Linked DNA regions of Mus musculus. The protein of the gene in region 2 interacts with the protein of the main gene of each other region in a pairwise test. Links are inferred from orthologs where the notes say so. Each region holds a gene or a part of one and is shown on either strand. Other genes may lie near its edges. The genes, in order: Zxdc and Pogz.

Region 1 (6,518 bases), on a different chromosome or scaffold from region 2:
CCGAGCTCCAAGGCCTCTCTGCAGGCAAATCACTCTGCTGAAGAAACAGACAGTTGCATGCAGTGCCAAACTGGAGTGGAGAAGTCTCTCCAAAGCCAGGCACTTCTAGTGTTCCTGTCATAGGGGCTGTCCTCCTCACCAGGATCAACCTCCTAGATGTACTGCACCCTTGCCACAGAACTCAAACCAACATCCAGTCTCTCTCAAGGTCCTGTTGCTCTCTCTGTCCAACCCTCAGACAGACCTGGGGCCAAGCAAACTGCCTGTTGCTAGGCATGTGCCTTCTGGACCTCAAGCCCTTACCCCACAGAAAAATGGACTGTGGCAGCCTTATGCCTTCTAGATGTGTCCTGGAAGCATATCTGGAGCCAAGCATAGCCTCTTGAGAAGCAGGAGCTGGCTGGCATCTATGAAACATGGTTGCCCATGCCATTATTTGGGAAAGATGAACACTATTAATAATAAGATACTACTAAACATCCTAGTGCTTAGTTCAGAAAGAAAGCTGCCACACAGTTCCCTTCAGAAGATGTAGCTCATTAGGAGAGAGACTTCCAGGCAATTATCAAGACTCAGATGACAGGGAGAACATTACACAGAAATAGTTCAATATATGGAGGTCTAAATGTAACAGGGCCTTCTTAGTAGAAGGGCTTTTCTTTCCTGGAGAGGAACTTCATTAAGGGAAGGGGTTGAGGGGTAGAGGGGGCGAGGGAGAACACACACTGCCATGAGAAGGATGGCAGGGCAGAGGAGCCTCTTCAGAGAGCAACTTTCAGAGGACCTTCCCAAGCAAATCCAAGAACAAAAGTAAGAGCCAACTAAGTTCTGTGGGGGATGAGGGGAGTTGGCAGCAAGTCTCACATTCATAATTTAGTCCAACACAGTGTATATGACAAAGGCATGGAAGAACTTGGACTAATTAGGACCATCAGTCCAGGTCTATTGGATACAGCACAGACAGCTTAACTCTGTTCAAGAGAGAGTTGAAAAGTATGGGATTGGGCTTTTATAGAGTGATCACTGACTTTTAGAGGCCAACCTGTCACACTGCAGGGTCTCCCATGGAAGCCTTGAGCTCAGAAATGCTTTAGCTCTTGTCCCTCAAAAGGTATGCTCCATGGAGCCTGCACGGTACCTGCTGGGCTGGTCTACATTCTAGGTCCCTTTAGTCAGTATGGCCCTTGAGTGGCTGGTTTGCATGGTTAGATTTGCTGGCCTCTTCAAGCACCTTATGGCAGGGGACATGGGGAGCACGGCACGTACGTGGCTAGTACAGGCTCACCATGTTTATTTCTCCTGCAGAGAGGCCGGAAATTGATAAGCCGTTCCCATCCACCAGTCATCAAAGTGAAGGAGGTGCGTGAACAGACGCTGATCAACAAGGACAAGGAGGAGATGCTCTTCTTCTTCACTTAGCAGCAGAGCTGGCTGTGGGCTCGGGAAGAAGTCAGCAGGAAGTGCAGACAGGGACTGTGAGCCTGAGGGGTTCCTAACTCCATCTCATACTTTCCTGTCAGCCTCCTTACAGGAAATAAAACCATGTCTCTTGGGAGTCTGAACGGCCTGCTGAAGGGAGTCTCTTGGAGCCCCTTTTGTCATTTCATCCAAAGCATGTGCTTGAGGGATAGAGCACTGTGCCGGTTGTCATCACAAACAGCTGCTCGTGGAGAAGTCTCAAACCTGTCCCTGAGGACGGCAGGATGGTGCTGGCTCTTGGAGACAAACGAGCAAGTAGCCAGCTGGGAAGCAGTGGGAAGAGTCTCAATACCACGCATAGTACCTTGAATGAAAGCAGCGCAAAAGCTTTTGCACATAACATTCGAACACTTTTATTCATTTGCACTAAGGACTGGGCCTATGGCAGCAGGAAGCTCCAGAGCTCAGAGCACAACAGCCCATCCTGTCACTTGCAGACACACGCTGGAGGCTGTGGGAGCTGCTGGAGCAACTTCTCTGTGGGGTGGGCTCTGGAGGCAGGCGACAGTGGTACCAGGCTGCCTACTGAGTGTCTATGGGGGCGCTGATTACAGCTAGGCAAGTTCAACCCCTAAACTTTGGCCTGTGATGCAGGAGAGACATGTGGAAAGGAGTCTTCTCAAGTAGGATTTATAATCCTTTTGTAGGGAGCAGCACCCAGGTAGCATCCAGAGAAAACTCATGCCCAGTTTCAGAGCTCTCCCCAAATCCAAGAAACAAAGCAACTCAGATGGGACAGAATCAAAACAGTATCTGAATAAGCACACACATCAAAAGCCCAAAGCATTGCTGAGTGACCCTGTATCCAGTCTTGACTAACAAATATGTGCAAGGCAACCAACCGTCTCCACGGGGAAGACCAAATCATTCTGTGAAAACACACAAGGCCACATAATATGCTTATCTCCAACCTCAATCATAAAACAAGCCTATTGTTCCAGCCCTACACATAACATAAAGCATTCAGAACTCCACTGTAGAGACTGCTGACAAGTTACTACTTACCATGAATTCCAGAAACAGAATTTAGAAAGATGACTTTAAAAGCCCGAACTCTTCATTCACAAACTATGAGCACACTGTCAATTTAGGAAGAGGTTCTATTAGCAGGCTACTGGCAGGCGGCAGGCCAGCCAATCACCTTTCAGACTAGATGTTTTGCCAGAGCTCAACCTGACTTTGGCTTCACTACAGCATACAGTGTAGAGAAAGCAATACACCCACCAAAACCATTCCCACAGGTGAGAAGCTGTTATATAAGCTCTCAGAATGTGTCAGACAAATCCTAATACACTACAACTCAGTATAGAGAAGTACCTGAGGAGGGAGCCATGCTCTACCCACTTCCTGCAAGGATCTTTTAATGTAAAAGGTGCTACCCACGTCAGACCCAAGGGGACCTGGGAAGGGCTGGAATGCATGTGCGTGCGTGCACGCACGTGTACACACACACACACACACACACACACACACACACACGGCATGGGCAGGGTGCCTATCACAGAGGGCAACCTGTGGAGGCAGTTTCAAAGAGTATAGCCCAAACTGGCTCTTGCTGGAACAGAATCAAAGTACTTTCAATATGTGTACCCCAAAGTCTCAAAGAATCAGGCTGGAGTGCTGAGGAAGTGAAATGAGTCTCTGCCCACCCACAGCAGCTGAGGTCTTGAAGCACAGCCTGGAATTCAGTCTTCATTGGCTCAAGACTGCTGTCACTCAAGGTCCCGCAGGTTGATAGTACTTCCTGGTACCTGTGCAGTCTCCAGTCCAGCAAAACCTCCAGGTGCTGGAAGCACCTCCTGTAAAACCAAGCAGAGAAGTAGAGGGTAGGGCAAGAAGAGAAGAGGAAGGCTCAGCAGAGATGTGGCCCACACCTTATGTTCTTCAAAGAACAATGTGACAGATAATGGTGGCATAAGCTTTTGATCCCAGTACAAGGAAGGCAGAGTCAGGCAGATCTCTGTGAGTTCCAGGCCAGCCAGTGTAGGCTACAAAGGGGGACTCCATCTTAAAAAAAGGAAGAAAGGAAGGAAGGAAGAAAGAAAGGAAGGAAGAAAAAGAAGTAAAGAAATAAAAAGAACTAAAACAGTGATATTTTTCCCAGATACTTTTCTAAAGGCCTACTGATGGCTCCATATATATTCAAACACCCATGTACTCTTCTGTTAAAAAAATGGCTCATTCTTTCTTGTACCCAGCATGCAGTGGGCAGGCTGCCCAGGGAGATGGCCACGGCTGCATAGCCATCACTCTCCTGCTGGAATCCAGTCCGCAGTGCGCAGGTTGCAGGTCACTGGTAGTCTGTATCTTCCCTGCCTCCCTCACAGCCTCTTGCTCTCTTCCCGCCACCCTATATTTTTTTCTCCCTTTTCCTTTCAGTTTTTAGAGACAGGTCCTTGCTATGTGGCCAAAGTGGCCTCAAATTCACAGTTCTCCAGCCTTGATCTGGGTTAATGGGTGCAACTATGTCTATGACATCTGGTTCAGATTTCCTTTCTTTAGGAAGTCCTCTGAGGGCTTAAAACAGTGGTACAGACATCCCTGAGGTAGGCTGCAGTCTGAAAAATGACTTTCATTCCCACCTAGATCTGCATTGGTGACTACCTACTCTCTGTTTACCTACTCCCTCACTTAGCTACTGAACTTATGTAGGTGTAGCTCATTCGTGGAGAATTTAGAACCAGAGAGTGCAGTAGTCCCAGGCATACTATGTTTTATCTGGTCCACAAGAAGACACTGTAGTGTCAAGCAAGCCTTATTTGAAGCTGTGACCCTGACTACCTTTTAAAAAAATTACAAAGTGGCTAGAGTGACCATCAACCCAATGGGCCTCCAGGGCAGGTCTGTGGCAGCTTCTAAACCATGCTACAACCTCCTGACATGGGAAACCTGGGATGAGTTCTACGAGAAGAGCAAGAACTGTAGACATCCAGACCTGGAGGACGTAGACAGGCAGATCCACGGTGAAGTAGGGGTGGAAGGCAGAGCGCTGTGGGCTGAGGCCCAGTGGTAAGCCTCCTTCACCTGAGGGGTCATCCTGGGGAGACAACATCAAGAATTATTACACACTGGTAAGCAGGAAGCAGGAGCAATGGCCCCTCCATCTCACTCACTTTGAGCCTAGTCCAAGGTTCAGTTGAGTCTGGAATCTTCTGTTGTCTGCCTCCCCTATGTTTATTATTTCAATACTCAAAAAACGTGCCTGGTCCCAACAGCTCCTTTCCTTCTACAATGTCCTAAATTCCACACAGATGCCTGAGTGCTTCAAGCTCATGGGGGTGGGGGCTTACCCTTATCTCTGTTCCCGGCTTACCCTCGGGCCAAACAGAGATCTCAAAGCAGACAGCATCTGGAGATGAGGAGACTAGCAGGCCCCCATTAGCCAATCAGGAAAGACTGGTTTTGCTTTCTCAAGTGTGTACTCAGTTACAGCTCGTATTACCCCCAAACTGAGCACCCTTTGCTCTGGCACCCCATCCTTCCACTGCCTTAAGGGCCTTCTGAGTACTACTGTTCCACCTCATGACAACAGAAGTGAAGCTGGGGATAAGGCCACTTGCCCAAGACAACACTAGTCGTCAAGGGACAGGTGAAATAGTCATACCCAGGTGCATGCTCTTTCTGCCTGTGGTGGCATCTTTCCTATGGTCTCTTCACACTATAGTCCCTTAGTCTTGGGGTGATCTCTGTATGCTGACTTGCACACTGTGTTGTGCTCCTTCAGGACAGGCCTCCCACTCCTTTTACTGTGCCAATCTCTACAGAATCCTTTCTCTCTTCCACAGTAACATGTTGTTCCCCCACTGGGTCAAACTAGGAGGGAGGAACATGATTTTCAGCTCCTTTCCATACACAAGCCCGAGTTTCTACCCTCAAAACTCTCATCTGCATCTTTTTTTTCTCTAGAACCCTTTTACACCCTGCTCCACAGGTTACCCTTTGCCATCTGTCCCCCATTATTTGAACCCTGCAAGCCCTTCACAGCCTTCTACTCCCAGTCCCACCTCTTTCCTTCATGGTTCTCTCCCAGATGGATCTTGCCTGTCTCTAAGCTCTCTGAAGAAACTGGAAAAGCTCTACCCTTAAGTCTCCGACATCTAGGTTTGCATTGGCCTTCTGAAGTTTCATCTATACCTCCAAGTGGTGTACAATATGTAGGTGTGACCAGGCCAGAATTATCCAGATTTCTCAGCATCCAAACTTCTTCCTTCTCCTACTCTATCTACCTCCTCAGAGGGAAGCCTGGGAGTACAGGTATGTATGGGGCTGCTAAGTGACCTGGCAGTGAGTTCCCACAGATGGGCTGTCAGATGCAGGTCTGCAGAGCCTCCAAAGAGGTGGCTAAGCCTTCTTTAGTGATCAGTGAGAAAGGAAGCAGAAAAATCAAAGAGGCCCTGGAATTTTCACATGAGAGCCTGCACTGTGGTGTGTAGAGTGCTGCCCAGTAGCATGGCCTAAACAGTCAAAGGAGAGCTTAAAGGAGGCTCTGGGGAGGTGAACAGTGTGAACACAGCAGTATGAGGCTTCCACATGGCCACCTTGGGCATCTTAGATGCCTCTGACCTGCACAAAGGAGGTCCCAGGCAGGCCTTTGCAGGACAGAGGCACATGCCGCCATGTGCACCTCCAAGGGAGGTGGGGAAGATGGACCAGGTTGAGGGAACTAGACACGGGGTAACACAGTGCCACAAACCTGATACGTCAGTCCTAACAAAGGCAAGGGCTTGCACAGATGAAGTGAGACAGGCTGGGAAGAAGAGAGAGGCTGGGGTTATTAAGATGGCTGGGACAGGACACAGGACTTGGGGCAGTTTACTGAGAGGGCAGAGGCCACCCCTCCACTATCCTGCCCCTGTAGACCTCAGCATCCATATGGCTGGTTCCTACCTGCAGAACAGGGATCTGGACACACTGCAGCCCAGCTGCAGGGGCTGGCACTGTCAGACCTCCACTGGGTACCATGAGAGTTCCACAGAAACAACTGTGCTGGCCTGAGTGGACATGAGGAGGGTTGATCGTGCCACCTTTTACTTTCCTGT
Region 2 (6,525 bases):
ACAGTTCTCGGCTGCCCCCGGGAAGCCCGGATTGTCACCTGAGAACCAAGGGAAGAACAGTTAGCTAGGTGACACTCACACAGGATGACTCTAGAAGACACTCACAGGAAACCTCAGGGTTCTGTGCCCACCTACGCTTACTCTCCCTGAGTCTGTGACAGCAACCTTGGCAAACTCTTACCTTGGTGCCTGGTTTCAAGCCTTCCAGTTGCTTAGGCTTACGGAAGGTTTTATGGTGCTGCAGCTTGTGTTCAATTTTGTCCTTGGCAAAGAGAAACTGCAGCCGGCATTTGTTGCAGTGATAAACATTTCTCTTCTAAAGTGAAGAAAAGCAAAACAGACAAGAACCGCTTAAAGGTTTCTACTGAATCAAAATCAGCACCACTCTTCCTTCTTTCTGTTTGGAATTTACTAAGAATAAGAAAAGAACCATTCAAGATGAAAAAGCCTATCACTGAGAACTGGTATCTCACACCCTGACAAAGTGAAGGCCAAGACACACAGGTTCTCAGTCAGTCCTTGGAGTGCATGGTCAGTGGCACACGCCTGCTCACCTAGATCACCTTAGCACCGCAGACTGCTATCTATTCCTGGACAGTCTTCTTGATTTTTAAAGCACACAGAAACATACATGGTGTCAAGTAAACAACAGAACAACTTGGACTCTCATTCTGTCCCCTCCACCTGCTAGGTCTGCCTTTAATTCCTGGTTGTTGGTTCATTTCCACAGACATCTTTTCACTGGCTATGTATATGAACAACCACAGAGCAAAGCTTTCTTTGGTTTCTTTCTAGTGGTGTTAGGGATACAAGCAAAAAGCTGAGGCCTTCCTTATGTTAGGCAAGCACCCGATCACCAAGACTTTCCAGCCATACCCCTTTAAAGACTACATACAAAACATAGCACTCCCCTTTGTATTCTTGCTTTCCCCCCCTTTTCCAGGAGGTGGAATGTGGGGTAGGGGGCTTAATACATCTTTATATACAGCTGTTTTTGAGTCTGCAGCCTGACAAAGGCAGTGCTTGTTTCAGGAGCCACTCTTACTCCCTTGTTATCTCACCTAACCCATCTCTGCATTGTAAATATATATAATTTTAGCAATGCGTCTTGACTCCATCTCTTTTCTTTACTTCAAAAGCCAACAACCACTAATATCGCCTACCTGATTAAAGCCTTTGGGTAATCTTTCCCCTCTGCTCTAGCTTTGACTTAGTTTACTTAGTGCTGGCAGTGTAAAATCTTAAACCTATCACTGCAGAACTTGAGTCCTTTTCCTAGCCTAGGAGAACACCCATAATCTATCTGCACATAGCTTCCAACATGTACCTTGTACTCTACCGTTTGCTCTGAACACCCCTTACCTCCCTACACACCGGCTCTGTCCTATTTTATTCCCCACCATTATTCATCCTTCAGACCTGAAACAGCACTTCTTTCTGGATGTCCCTTCAGTTCCCAGAATAGATAGATGCTTCTCTGTATCGTCCCCTATTAACAAAGCCCTCATTTTTGTGTGTGTGCGTGCGTGTATTTTCCTTTAACACTAAACCTCTAACATCTAACCTAGTGTGTAGGAAGAAACAAGAACTGAATGATGTTTGCTAACACAATATTATCTTCTCTACCAACATTATTTATCTATCTCAACCCTGTCCCTAGGATCCAAACCTCAAATAAGAATACAGGACTGCTTGTGCCTGATACCTGGTGCCTCATGTAGTGTTGCTGGAAGGCATTGCCATTTTTGAAGACTTTTAGGCAATACGGGCAAAGCAAATGCCGAGTATCTTCATGGATCATCCGAAAATGGACATCTACTTCAGAGTAGAGGGAGGAGCGATACTGACACACCTGAGTTATGCAAGAAAGAAAATAAGGGCAAGGTGAACAACTGGAGCCATAAAGAGAGATAACAACAAAGATTGATGCAGGAATATTCTTCAATGCACAGGTGTTACTGTCTTGGATTCGCACTGGAGATCTATGTGGATGGTAAGCTTAGCTGTGATGTCTGGGAACAACCCATACTCTCTAAGGCAGAAAAGCATCCTCTATCCTGAGAGGGAGCTCGGGAGACAGCTCTTGGTATGCCAGGAGTCCCCTGTCTGGGTGTTATCTTCTACAAAGTCCTACCTATAGGAGCTGCACTATTACTCTTCCCATATCTCTTCAGAGCACATAAATGGAAGCTGTACAGTGGGTATTTAGAAATATCCACTAGTGGATTCTTTACAGTTTGAAAAAGGCATTCATTACCTGACAAACATAAGGCATCTCTCCAGGCTTGTGGGTGTCCTTCATATGCTGGAGGAACAAGGGCTCGCTTTCAAAGGCCCACTCACAGATCTTGCACTTGGCTGGAAGAAGAAAAATCATAGAGACATAGACTTGGATGTAAGATCCCCCCCCCCCCCCATCTCTCTCAGGTTTTTTGAGACAGGGTTTCTCTGTGTAGCCCTGGTTGTCCTGGAACTCACTCTGTAGACCAGGCTGGCCTTGAACTCAGAAATCCACCTGCCTCTGTTACCCAAGTGCAAGATCATATCTCTTAAGATCACATCTGTACACTGGTTCTGCTCTAACATTTGTGTTGCTGATGACAACTAATATCCCTCTCTCTAACTCAGCCTTTTAACAAAGCTCTAGTCTAGGAGACTGTGAACTATTCGCATTTTAAACCAGACATTCCCTCTTTGCTCCTAACTTGAAATCACATTTGCCTTCTGTCCATTTCCTATCTCTTATTTCTTTAAGACATACCCACTGTGACCTAGAACTGTCACACTGTCACCTCTGTTATGATAGACAAGAACATGGTAGAAACCCTTACAACTGACTACAAAATACAACATGAGTTTAAGCCTATACCCAGGAACAAAGATTTTCATTTATAAATAATTCATAAATATCTACTGACTGTCCATGAAGTACAAGGAAGAATTTGTTCTGAAATGGCTGACAAACACTAAGAGATGTTTGCTTTTTTGTTTTTGTGACAGGGTCTTACCTCCCAACCCTGTATGGCCTGGAACGCTTATGTATAATAGATAAACTTGCAACTCAGATTTCTATCATTCTGCCCCTGCCTCCCAAGTGCTGGTGTTAATGGTGTATATAATGTCACTTCTCTTTCAGTATGAACAGATTCAACATAATTATGCTCAGAAATTTGTCAAGCTTATTTAAAAGGATACAATTCTAAATTTTTGGTAAAATTTTTAATTGCTTCATATTTTGAATTATAAAGTGTGGCTAGCAAAAGAGCTATATTTGTCTGTGTTTTCCTTTGTCCACTGGTCTTTCAAGTTTCTGCAAATATAAACATAGACTTAAAGTTTTAAGTATTTATTAGTCAATGGCCCACCCTCTGAATCTTTCTAACTCCTTCCTATATTTAAAACTAAAAGTTTATCACCATGTTTTGTGAAACTTGGCCACAAAATCTTTTCCCCTATTGTAATGATCTTACCCATAATAACTATCATATAAGGCATGTTTGTAATATTATCTTATTTTGAGATAGGATCTTACTATGTAGGCCAGGCTTGCCTTGAACTAAGTGGCCTTCCTACTTCTGCCTTCAATGAGCCTGTAAATCTAACATATAATATTGTCTTACTCTACATACTATAATTATATAAGCTCCTATACTTAAGATAATTTGCATTTTTAACAAAATTGACAATCCTTTGAGAAATATTCTGAATAGGGAGAGACGGATCAGTGGTTAAAGTATTTACTGCTTTTGCAAAGAACTGGAGCTCAGTTCCCAGCACCCACACTGGGCAGCTCACAAGCATCTTTAACTCCAGCTCCAGAACCTGGAAGCAGGGCAGAGGTGGTGCATGCCTTTAATGGCAGCATGGGGGGTGGGAGTGGTGAATAGACTGGGAGGCAGAGGCAGGCAGATCTTTTGAGTTCTAGCCCAGCCTGATCTACAGAGTGAGTTCCTGAACAGCCAGAGCTACACAGAAAAGCTCTGTCTCAAAAACCAAACCAAACCAAACCAAACCAACCAACCAACCAACCAACCAACCAACCAACCAACCAACCAAGAAAGAACTCTGAACACTGGGCTCACATCTCAAAACGTCAACTCAATAGAAGCTTATGTTTCACTCAGCACTCAGGAGACAAGAGGCAAGCAGATCTCTGTGAGTTTGAGGCCAGCCTGGTCTACAAAGTGAGTCCAGAATAGCTAGGGCTACATACACAGAGAAACCCTGTGTCTAAAACAAACAACAAATGTATGTTTTAAGCAGATGACTTCTGTTATTCTAAGTGTTTGCTGTTGTTCCTACTTTGTAAAATCTGTAACTAACATTCTAGCTCACCACCTACTATTTCACGGACAACACCAATTTAATAGCAAAGTACTTTAAAATTATGCTTGTTAAAAAATAGAGAAAAGTACTCCTCTATCACTATTATCTGGGTATAATGAGCTCTCTGCTAGTGCCATTTAGTAAGCAAAGAAAACATAGATCCCATCCCTCTGCTGGAGTTTGGGTTTTCAAACTTACTAGTAGATTCATAGGGACTATGAACATTTTCCAAGTGGCACTGGAGCTGGAAAGGGGTGGAGAACTGGCGGTAACAGTGCTGGCAGATGGTGTGACCATCCACCTCACCATTCTGTTGATCAAGTTCTACGTGGTGCTTCATGTGGTTCATGAATCTGTAGCACAGCACAAAGAGAAAGTACAGAAAACTAAGTCAGCAGTCGATGAAAGATATGATACAGTTATGAACAAATACGATTTGCTCCCCAACTACAACTTCCTCCATTTGGGAGAGTCTTTTTCTGAGCCCAGAAAGATGGTCCTTTACAAATTCTGTGTATTTCTGTGTGTCTGCGTATAGGGTCATTCATACAAGTGCTGAAGGAGGTCGGAGCTGAAGATACAGACAATTGTGAGCCACCTTATGTGGATGCTGGGACTTGAACTCAGGTTCTCTATAAGAACAGAATGCACTTTTAATTTCTGTGCCCTTTCTCCAGCTCCATATTAATAGATACTTCTTCTTAAAATAATTTACTTTTACTTTACATGCATTGAAGTTTTGGTTACGTATACATCTATACTTACATCTCCATCCATCCATATCTATATATGTGAGGTGTCAGGTCTGGGAGTTACAGACAGTTCTGAGCTGCCATGTGGGTGCTGGGAACTGAACCTAGGTGCTCTGGAAGAATAGTCAGTGCTCTTAACTGTTGAGCCATCTGTCCAGCCCCCAGATAACAAGTTCTTAAAACTAAAAGAATATTCTGTTCAAGGAGACTGTGTTCCTTACTCAAAGTTAAAGGTATCTTTTATTACCATAATGAAATAATTCAACAGTATTGCCCACTAAAAAGTCTAACAAGACTGTCTAAGTCAGGTGGTAGTGGTAAATGCCTTTAGTTCTAGCATTCAGGAGAAGACAGATCTCTTGAGTTCGAGGCCAGCCTGGTCTACAGAGTGAGTTTCAGGAGAGCCAGTGTTATACACAGAAAACCCATTTCAAAAAAACCATAAAAGAAGAAAGACTGCATCATAGTTAATATTTCCCAAAAGAAAACCTTAACTATGTAATAAGAACACCTGTGTACTTCTGTGCAGGCTGTTGTTTCAAGCTTACCGAATGTTGTTCTTTAGCCTCTTAGTACAATGAGGGCATCGGAAAGACGTGGCAACCTTAGGGAAGCTCGTGAGCTGGGCTGCTTTGCCCCCATCCCGTCCATAGTAGAAATCATCAACCAGCATAATAAGCTTGGTCTGGACAGCATCTCCAGCATTCTCATTTGGCTCTGGTACTTTGGTAGGTGGTGAGAGAGCAGGAATTGGTGTAGAGGAGGGTGTGGAAGTAACAGGGGCTGTCTTCTCAGGGGACGAGGGCTTTGCTGCCGATGGGACACTGGGCTCTGCATCGAGGGACTTGCCTTTCTTTTGGTACTCAACCATTTCAGGGCAGCAGTACTGTAAAAGAAACGACATCATCATTCCATTTACCAGGAACTAGGATGAGCTAATAAATCCATCATGTCACCTACAGTCCCTTGGAATGCTTTGTTAATGTAGGTAATAAAGGACATGTTTTTGGACACTGGGATCTTATTTAAGCTGTCTAGGCTAGGCCACTGGTTCACAAAATCCTTCTGCCTCAGCCTACTGGGTAGCCGGGACTGTAGGCATTTGCCGGCACACTGAGCTGGGTTTAAGGTGGTCTTCGTCCAGCTTTCATCTCGTTTCCTTCAGTAGCCCCAGAGTTTACACTTCTCTTTTCCATGTCCACACAGCCCCAAGCCTTGCACCTCTCACTGCTCCTCTCCCGCCGTCTTGAGCCTTGAACTAGCATCACTTGACTCTGAGCTTTCTAGAGAAAGAAGGTCCAACTGCTCCATTTGGACTGATACCAGAAAACTGAATGACGACAAATAAAGCAGGGACAAGGTAACAGGTTTTCATACTCCCAGTGATGGAGTTAAAATGGAGTTGAGGATATAAACGTTCCTTGAGGTCTTATCTAACAAACTTGCT

What was found.
Region 1: the proteins of Pogz (region 2) and Zxdc interact in binary tests that used the Homo sapiens proteins (3 or more experiments, as listed by UniProt). The link is inferred for Mus musculus from reciprocal best matches to the Homo sapiens genes POGZ and ZXDC.

What each region holds. Positions count from the first base shown.
Region 1 is NC_000072.6:90,398,780-90,405,297, reverse strand, and holds the end of Zxdc (zinc finger protein ZXDC), read right to left. Parts: coding exon 6,367-6,518; intron 4,517-6,366; coding exon 4,415-4,516; intron 3,279-4,414; coding exon 3,192-3,278; 3' UTR 1,812-3,191; downstream 1-1,811. Other genes in the region: Cfap100 (cilia- and flagella-associated protein 100), read left to right, coding at 1,306-1,419. UniProt on the Homo sapiens protein: Cooperates with CIITA to promote transcription of MHC class I and MHC class II genes.
Region 2 is NC_000069.6:94,870,427-94,876,951, reverse strand, and holds part of Pogz (pogo transposable element with ZNF domain), read right to left. Parts: intron 5,965-6,525; coding exon 5,627-5,964; intron 4,680-5,626; coding exon 4,525-4,679; intron 2,359-4,524; coding exon 2,258-2,358; intron 1,853-2,257; coding exon 1,706-1,852; intron 317-1,705; coding exon 182-316; intron 39-181; coding exon 1-38. UniProt on the Homo sapiens protein: Plays a role in mitotic cell cycle progression and is involved in kinetochore assembly and mitotic sister chromatid cohesion.